2 linked regions of the Xenopus tropicalis genome follow. The protein of the gene in region 2 purifies or fractionates together with the protein of the main gene of each other region. This does not show direct contact. Links are inferred from orthologs where the notes say so. Each region holds a gene or a part of one and is shown on either strand. Other genes may lie near its edges.

The links.
Region 1: the proteins of rps6kb1 (region 2) and eif3b purify together in Homo sapiens (affinity purification with western blotting; 3 studies listed by BioGRID and IntAct, with this or other methods). This does not show direct contact. The link is inferred for Xenopus tropicalis from reciprocal best matches to the Homo sapiens genes RPS6KB1 and EIF3B.

What each region holds. Positions count from the first base shown.
Region 1 is NC_030685.2:31,105,773-31,110,749, reverse strand, and holds the start of eif3b (eukaryotic translation initiation factor 3 subunit B), read right to left. Parts: upstream 3,214-4,977; 5' UTR 3,090-3,213; coding exon 2,999-3,089; intron 1-2,998.
Region 2 is NC_030678.2:91,532,171-91,536,526, reverse strand, and holds part of rps6kb1 (ribosomal protein S6 kinase beta-1), read right to left. Parts: intron 4,323-4,356; coding exon 4,232-4,322; intron 3,819-4,231; coding exon 3,728-3,818; intron 1,565-3,727; coding exon 1,457-1,564; intron 1-1,456. UniProt on the Homo sapiens protein: Serine/threonine-protein kinase that acts downstream of mTOR signaling in response to growth factors and nutrients to promote cell proliferation, cell growth and cell cycle progression.

The DNA.
Region 1 (4,977 bases), on a different chromosome or scaffold from region 2:
TAATGCATCAGTTGGTATGGAATTAAAGAGAATATGCAATTCCCCTTTACTTATACAGTTCCAATCACCTAGGTCATTGGTCCAAAAAAATGGAACAGAGGGTGGCCATGCAAGGGGATAGCCATTTATCAGATATCTATTTTGTGCCCACAAGTCAATTTTGTTGGATACTGGACAATGTATCCTAATCTTAATTTAATACATTGTTGAATGTTCTCACATGCATTAAAATGGGACACTTTGTACCAGATGTTCCTTAACTGTGGGGGCAACACCACGGGGTTGGGGCAGCCGAAAAGCCAGTTACAGTGAGACCCAGGGAATGCCTACTTGCTCTCCTAGACACTCTGTAAGCCCAATGCATTAACTTAATTTCACAGGATATGAAAAAGGACAGGAGCTGCTAAACTAGTTGCTTCAAAAGGAATGAACAAATCTTATACAGTGCCCGATTAAACAATTTAAAAAGTTAATTTGGCTTTTCTGAGCATTTTTCAGACATAAAGTAACCTTTTTAAACTTGATAAAGCAAGTCATACTGACACATTATATAATTATTAGAGCAGACTATCAAGGCTGGGATTGGATTACTCTTTATAAGTATATTAGAAGGCATTATGGCATTCTTTCCCATAAAAACGTTCAATACCGGGTAGGTGGTTCTTCATGGTAAGGGCAGCGAAGTTGTGGAATGCCCTGAGTGTAAGGCCATTGTCAAACCAGGCGTATGGCGTATATATTTTTGGCAAGCGTTTTTCAACTTGCCGAAAATATATACGCCATACCTGGTCTGACATTAGCCTAAGGTTTGGGCACCTAATTACAGCATGCAGTCTTTGTCCATAAGAGGTAACTAAGCACACCTACTCTAGCAACCAGGTAACTCCCAGCTATAAATCAAGTGATACACTGCTCAGAAACAGACGACACACCCTTACAAAATTACATATTGGACTAACATACATTATTATTGCTCTTCATTCATGAAGCAGAAAAGCATTGGGACATTGTACAACAAGGAGATAAACTTGCCTAACTGACAACATTGACATACATGCTGTTACAGAAAGATAAGAACTACTGTTCACTTTCTTCCTCCCTTCTTAAAGGAACAGTAACACCAAAAAATGAAAGAGCTTTAAAGTAATAAAATATAATGCACTGTTGCCCTGCAATAGTAAAACTGGTGTGTTTGTTACAGTAACACTACTATAATTGATTTAATAAGCTGCTGTGTAGCCAGGGGGGCAGCCATTCAAGCTGGAAAAAAGGAGAAAAGGCACAGGTTACATAGCAGATAACAAATAAGTTCTGTAGAATACAATGGTGTTTTATCTGTTATCTGCTAAGTGCCTGTGCCTTTTCTCCTTTGAATGGCTGCCTCCATGGCTACATAGCAGCTTATTTATATAAATTATAGTAGACTTTCTGAAGTAAACACACAACTTTTACCAGTGCAGGGCAGCAGCACATTATATTTTAGTTACTTTTATACACTTTAATTTTTTGGTGTTACTGTTCCTTTAATTAAGAGGGGTATCTAGTACCAACTTTAGTTATAATGCACCAGTGTATGCTGCAATGCTGTACAGAAAAGAGAAAAAGTGATGCCAATATGACCTGAGCACGTTTTTTGACATGTCAACCCCAAAAAACGTTTTGCCTAATAAAAGAAAACAATTCTAAGCAAACTTTGCAATTTACATTAATTACAAATGTGTAATTGTTTTAAAGTTGTTTATAGATATTACTGCTATTAAAAGCAGCGTTTGTCATCCCCTCCAAAATAGGCTTTTGTGCATTATGAAGGCAATTCTAAAGAATGCTCAATTAAATATTTTATTTACATTTTAAAATTGTACATAATTGCTATTAAAGCAGTTTTCTCCATCACTGGCTTTGATGTAGCTGCTACTCGTAGCTCTGTGCGTCTTCACCCAAAGACACTGACTTTGAGGATTACATTTGGTGGCTGTTAGAACTTGGTTTGCTTATCTTTATTTTAAGATCCTGATTTTCTATATCCTCACGGTCATTGAGACTTCCTAACTGTTGACTGTTTGTTAAGGTGGCCATACACGGGCTGGTTGTAGCTGCAGATATCGGTCCTTTGGACTGATTCGGCAGCTTATCGGGCCGTGTAGGGGCAGAAACGACAGGCCTGCCCAACCAATATCTGGCCTGAAATTGCCCAGATATCGATCGGGCAGGTTAAAAGATTTAGTCAGATCAGGGACGATCCCCGAACTGGCTGTGCCATTGCTGCCGTTAGAATTTAATCAATCAAATTAGCCTACATTTTCCCGATATCCCCCACCCATAGGTGGGGGATATCGGGAGAAGATCCACTTGCTTGGCGAGCGGATCTTAACGTGTATGGGCACCTTTAGGATAAATACCTCATATCAACAACAAAAAAATCTAAATACCAAGCCTGAAAAAAACAGAGGGCTTGTTTTTGCTACGAGTTAAAATAAAAATGCTGCTCGGCAGCCAGTGGGGCCCCATCTGCTCAAGCTTTGTTTATTTCAAAATTGCTTGATAACTGGGGTGTTGTGTTAGGGCACAAAAATAACCATGAAAGGGTGTGACAGTGCAGCATAGCTGGCTGCTATCAAACTACAACTCCCCACACCAATCCCAGGTACAAAGGACATATTGTGCGATGCGGCAGCTGTTAGCCGTTCTCAGGATGCACATCAGGGATGTCCGCCCAACCTGCAGGCTTCCAGCTGTAACTGAAGGCTGAAAGGTTTTTAGCACCAAGCAGGGAAATTACCAGCTGGGAGTACAGCAACAATAACATCTATAATGAATCCAATTCCATCCCTCTGATAAGAGGCCACATTCTTTCTGCACTGCCAGGGGCCCCCATCTTTTCACACACAGGCCTTATGGGTACTGCATAAGCAGAAGCACTGCCCTAAAAAGAACGCAACATGCAGGCCTAAGTACCCAATATTGTCCAGAGCCAACATTCTAGAAAGCCCTCACTCACCCTCTTCACTGATATCGTCCTCGAATCCCTCCGGATCGCTAAAGGACATCCCTTCTTCCTCCTCCTCCTCGGTGGACTCTTCCTCCTCCATGTCTCTCTCGGGTCGTTCGCTCTCCAGCATTCCTCGGCACTTTCCTGTTTGTCTCTGTTCTACCTACGTTGGATTCTTGCGTCTCTCCGTGGTTGGAATTCGTTTCTCCCCGAGAATAAAGAGAACGCAAGGCTTGGCGCTACTAACAGGCCATGTGCGCTGTACCGGGCACCGGCGGAAAAGGAGCTAACCAAGGCAGGAGACAGGGGTGGCGAGATCACTCAATTCAACTTGCGTGATGTCAAACCCAACGCGCGATATATTAACCACAAAGGAATTATCTCTGTATTTTGTGTTCTTGCTGTTAAAAGAAATATGAGGCTTAAATGATTTAAGCCAAAGTGAGCGCCTCCCCTTTTTCAATTACAAATGGTTTAGTCCAACATGGAGGAAGTGACTGCGCTCAATGTAGCTAAATGGCTAGTACTGGCTGGGTACGACTAACTACAACTTCCGGAATGCTAATGCAGGGGCCAAGCTAGTTGTATCAATGCACAGCTTTAGTACTTTTTTTTTAACTTTGGGCGGTAACTAGGATTTGATTCAAGTGCATTTGTTCACGTTTAACTTGGCATACAATTGCTGTAATATGCCAGCGTTTTATACTTTACAAATATACAGAGGATGGTTTGCAGTTATATTATCTTTTCAGTTAAAGACCTGCATGGGTTGTAATGTAAATTAATTTTTTTAGTAAAGGTTTGTGGTGGAAAACAGCAGCAGACAATCTGCCCTTGTATACCAACTATAGGATTCTTTAAATAAAATAACATTACAAACGGTGCCTGGAGATGGATATTTTGTCTGCTGGTATTTTTGATGTCATGTACTTGGACTTTGAAAAAGCGTATGATACAGTACCTCACAGAAGGTTAATGATAACATTGAGGAATATTGGCCTAGAACGCTAAATTGTGCAAAACTATAAGTTCCGTGTAGGATGCAGCCACTTTGCAGAGCGATTTGACAAAACTGGAAAACTAAATAGCTAACTGGAAAATGAGGTTCAATGTGGGCAAGTGCAAAGTTATGCATTTTGGTAAAAATAATATAAACACAAGCAATCTACTAAATGGTAGTTTGTTGGGGGTATCCTTAATGGAGAAGGATCTGGGTTTTTTTTATAGATAATAAGTTGTGTAATGCCAGGCAGTGTCATTCTGTGGCTACTAAAGCAAATAAAGTGCTGCCTTGTATAAAAAATGGCATTGACTCAAGTGATGAAAACATAATTTTGCCCCTTTATAGGTCTCTGGTAAGGCCTCACCTTGAGTATGCAGTGCAGTTTTGGGCTCCAGTCCTTAAGAAGGATATTAATGAGCTGGAGAGAGTGCAGAGACGTGCAACTAAATTGGTAAAGGGGATGGAAGGTTTAAGATATGAGGTTAAGACTATAGAGGTTGGGGTTGTTTTCTCTGGAAAATAGGTGCTTGCGAGGGGACATGATTACTCTGTATATGTACATTAGAGGGGATTATAGGCAGATAAGGGGTGTTATTTTTTCCATAAAAACTATCAATGCACCAGAGGCCACCCCTTAAAGTTAGAGGAACGGAGCTTCCATTTGAAGCAGCGTAGGTGGTTTTTCACGGTGAGGGCAGTGAGGTTGGGGAATGCCCTTCCTACTGATCTTGTAATGGCAGATTCTGTAAATGCCTTTAAGAGGGGCCTGGATGAGTATTTGAACAAGCATAATATCCAAGGCTATTGTGATACTATCTACAGTTAGTATTAATGTTTGTATATGTAGTTATGTATGTGTTGGTATAGATTGGTTAGTATAGGTTGTGTGTGCTGGGTTTACTTGGAAGGGTTGAACTTGATAAATTCTAATCTGGTCTTTTTTGAACCCTGTGTAACTATGTAATGGCAGTGGTGTTTGGAAATC
Region 2 (4,356 bases):
GTTTTATTCCTTTTTTTTCTTTATTAAAAACAATACATATAAATAAAAAAAAAAAATGTACACGATTTGGAAATAAACTAAACTTAAAAGACAGTATCTAAGGACATTCAATATCTGTAATGGTTAAAGGCAGTAAAGTGCAATGGCACTATACATGATAAAGTAGATATAGTATCATAATAATGGTCTAGAGAGTGGGTCTGTAGAATGCCTCCAACCTATTTTTCTGGTTCAAACTAGACCATAACACTAAATTTAAGAAGAGCTTTAAAATTGTACCCTAAAGCAGAGGGAAAAAAGCACTACTGTGCTATCAGCTGCCATTTTTGCCATGGAGGCATTCCATTAAACTGCAGTTGCTCTGTTTGTCTATTCACACCCTAATCCGCCTATGTATTCTACGGGTTTGTGTACATTATGTGATTTTATGACAACTGCAGCAAATATGGAGTTAATACAGAACCATCCTCATTGATTTCTATAGGGGTTATATCGGAAACCCCATAGCAAAGCACCACCCAAGACAGTACAATCTTGAGGTGTTTTTATTAGAGGCCCTTATAGGGGATCATGATATACACTTTTTGGCAGTAGGTGCCCATCCTTCAGAATCTACATAAGTATTATTTTACAAATCCTTGAGCTTTATTTTCAGTAGGGCCCTTTTAACCTCTTGTATCAGTTATCAGTTCTTTATTTTATGCAAGTCTGTGTGTTCACAGTATACACCCATTTATTGTATAACACTGTGGCATTTTTTGGTGCTGTATAAATACATGTTAACTTAAATAAAAGATGATGATAATAATCTATGCTATACATTATTACTTATTATAGAAACATTTAGGTATATAAGGTGGGGGAACCATAAGCAAAAGCTGCTTGGATGATACTACTGATAATGGCTTTAACTGTCATTAACATAGCATAAATTATAATTACTCTACTTCAAAAATTCTAAGTTTTAAGGGTTTCCATTAGTAATTAGAAAGATTCTGGTGGCTAATGGCTTTTCCTTCCTCCTAACCCGGTGCACAGAGTGAAAGGGGATTGGCACCCCTTCAAATTGGACTGCAAAATCAAGCAAAGCCAACACACAGATACAATTCAACCAGTGATTTATTGTGTCAAGCAGAATACATGTTTCAGGGCCTTGCCCCTTCATCGGCTTTACATCACAAATCCCTTTCATAGGAATATTGTTTCCTCTACTGGATGTGCATGCCCATAAAAGTCTGCACTCTGGCTAAAGGGAAGAATTTTCCTGATAGGTGCACTTTAAACAGCCACCTAAATAGTGAAATTAACCAATTAAAGTTATTATTAAATTAATTTTTGTTACAGATCAGCAACAACATTTATAATAATTATATTAAGTTTCCTCCTATGTGAAGAAAAGCACTAGTGGGGCAACAAAAAAATGCTTTTGATTTACACATCTTAAAAGGATAGCTACCTTTTTAAGCAGATCCCTGGCTTCTTGAGTGAGGTAGGGGGGCAGGTTTAATTTACATTTAAGAATTTTATCAATTGTTTTCTTTCTGTTTTCACCAGTAAATGGCGGCTAGAACACAAAACAAAACTGCATTACAGTTAGCAACAATACTTACGGTAAAGCATAGTAGTAAAGCAGAAACACTGAGCAAACAAACTAGAAATGTTACAGCTAATTTCCTGTTAAAGTATACACTTTATGGTGATTAGAAATAATTTAGCATAAAAACGTTGAAAAATAGGTCTTATTTATATGAAACAGAGAAGTGCTGTTCTGAATACTTTTAACTATAATAACACAAAAAATCCCTACTCTGTGCTCAGTGAAATTGTATTCTAGAAGTTTTAATGGGGTGGCACATCTTCAGGTTAACTCTCAGTATGTTATAGAATGGCCTATTTAGCAAATATTCAATTGGTCTTCATTTTGTATCTTTTATAGTTTTTTAATTATATGCTTCCCTCTGCAACTCTTTCAAACTTTAAAAAAGGGGCCACTGACCCTGGAAGCTACTAAGCTATTGTAGCTCTGAGAGGCTACAATTTTATTGTTATTGCTACTTTTTTTTTTGCTTATCTTTCTATGCAGGCCCTCCTCTATTCATATTCCATAAACTACTACTACTCTCTACATCATACTAAAAGATAATTTAAAGGTAAACCAACCCCTTTAATGTCTCCCTATAACACAAAAACAAAAAATGTTTACCCTTCTGTTTCCTTGTTAGGAATTTATAATAGTTAAATAGCTATAAAAGCTTAAAGACAGATAGCCTAAAAGACATTGGCAGGTTAGAGAAAGCTAAAACTGTTACCTGAAATCAGTAGCATTAACAGAGAAGCATCAATATACTCATAACAATTTAAAAAAGGAACTAAGTTAAAAAAGCAATATATTATCACCTCTTAATTAGCCAATAAAGGCAATAAATACCTTCAACACCAGTTTTGTGATGTTTCGTTTTAAAAGGGTTATCCCTGCAATTATTTCTATAAGACAACATCATAGGAAATGTAAAAAAGCGAGGCTTTTACAATTTCTATATTAAAGGAACAGTAACACCAAAAAACAAAAGTGCATCACTGTAATTAAAATGTAATGTACTGTTGGCCTGCACTGGTAAAAGGTGTGTTTTTGCTTCAGAAACACCACTATAGTTTATATCAGCACTGTCCAACTGACGGCCCAGAGGTTGAAACCTTGTGGCTCACAAAGCTTCAGGTAATAAAAGCAGTTTATTTAAAACATATCAGTCAGAACCAAACTTGAAGCATCTGATCCACATGGTAGCCTCTTTTCATGCAGCTGCTCCTCAGCCCACCCGAACAATGTTGCAAACTTTGATCTCCCTTCCCAGCTGTTACATACTGACTCTGCTCTCCTGCTTCTTACCTCAATTCATCACCCTGCTGCTGACTTCATGATGAGAAAACTTGATTCGATTCGTATAATCCACTTATTTAAAAGTTTTAAATCAAAAGTACGGTTAGATAGGACACAATTTGTTAAAAGTTGGTGGGCCCTTGATCTTTGGAGTGGATTGTACAACACAGCAAAACAGCCAGTAACCACAGCCTTATGGCAAATAAACTAGACAGTGCATGCCCTGTGTTTTTTCACTGTTTTGTCTTTATAGTTGTGCTATCTGCATTCAAGGCAAAAATACTTTTACACTAGTAAGCAGTGAGTTTATACTTTGAGGGAGAGGACTTAACAGAAAAGCATGCATTTTCAACTGTGATAACATGGGTGTGACTTAAAATGGGGTGCGGTCAAAGCTGGATACCATCACTGGCCCTCCACCACTTAGGCCAGAAAAATCTTACCAAAGAAGCTGGACAGCACTAGTTTATATAAACAAAGCTGCTGCATGGCCATGGGAGTAGCTATACATAGGGCTAAATGGCTACATAGCAGATAATAGATAAACTCTGCCAAACAACATTTTATACATCAAAGCTTATCTGCTATGTCACCTGTGTCTTTAATTTTTGCAACTTAAATGGCTGCTCCATGGCTGCATAGCAGCTTATTTATATGAGCTATAGTCTTTCTGACGCATACATACAATTTAGTGAAAGGCAGCAGTACATTATATTGCAATTTACATGATAATGTTTTAATGTAAACCCCTTCATTTTTTGTTGTTACTGTTCCTTTAATAGGCCTCTGTTCCAGGAAAAGCATTTTGGTCACTGGAGGCAAATCATGCATAAACAACAGTGCACCTACTGCTCCAGTCAGCATGTCATACATCAAGGCTCCCAAGCTCCACCAGTCTACAGCACGGTTATGACCGCTTCTCATTAAGATTTCAGGTGCCCTAGGAAAATTAAAGAATGTAGCACTTATTTTTGCAAAGTTTAGCCATAGCCATATTTATGTTTATAAAAAATATGCTTGATAAATTTCCTAAGGTAACAAAATGTGAAATGCAACATGTTATACAATAAATAATGGTGAATAAAATGTTTGACGTGCTGGTCCTTCTTCATGCATGTATATACTGTACATACACTATACATAACATTTTTACCAGGACATAAACACAGGTTATGGAATAAGAAATAGAAAGCAAATTGAAGTTAGTTAAAAGATGAAAAGTCAGAATACCATAAGTTTGTGAATACCCATTACGATTTCACCTGTATGGTGAAAGGGATACACACATTTAAGTCAGCCCTGTGAATTTGTCCTAAGGAAAAAAAAAAACTATTAAAAAACATGAAATCTTACATGTATTCTATTGTTCCACAGAAGGTGTGTGTGACAGTGCCATCATGAATAGATTCTTTACAAAGGCCAAAATCAGTAAGTTTCACATGCCCTATAAAATAATATAGAACTTGTTAATATTGTTT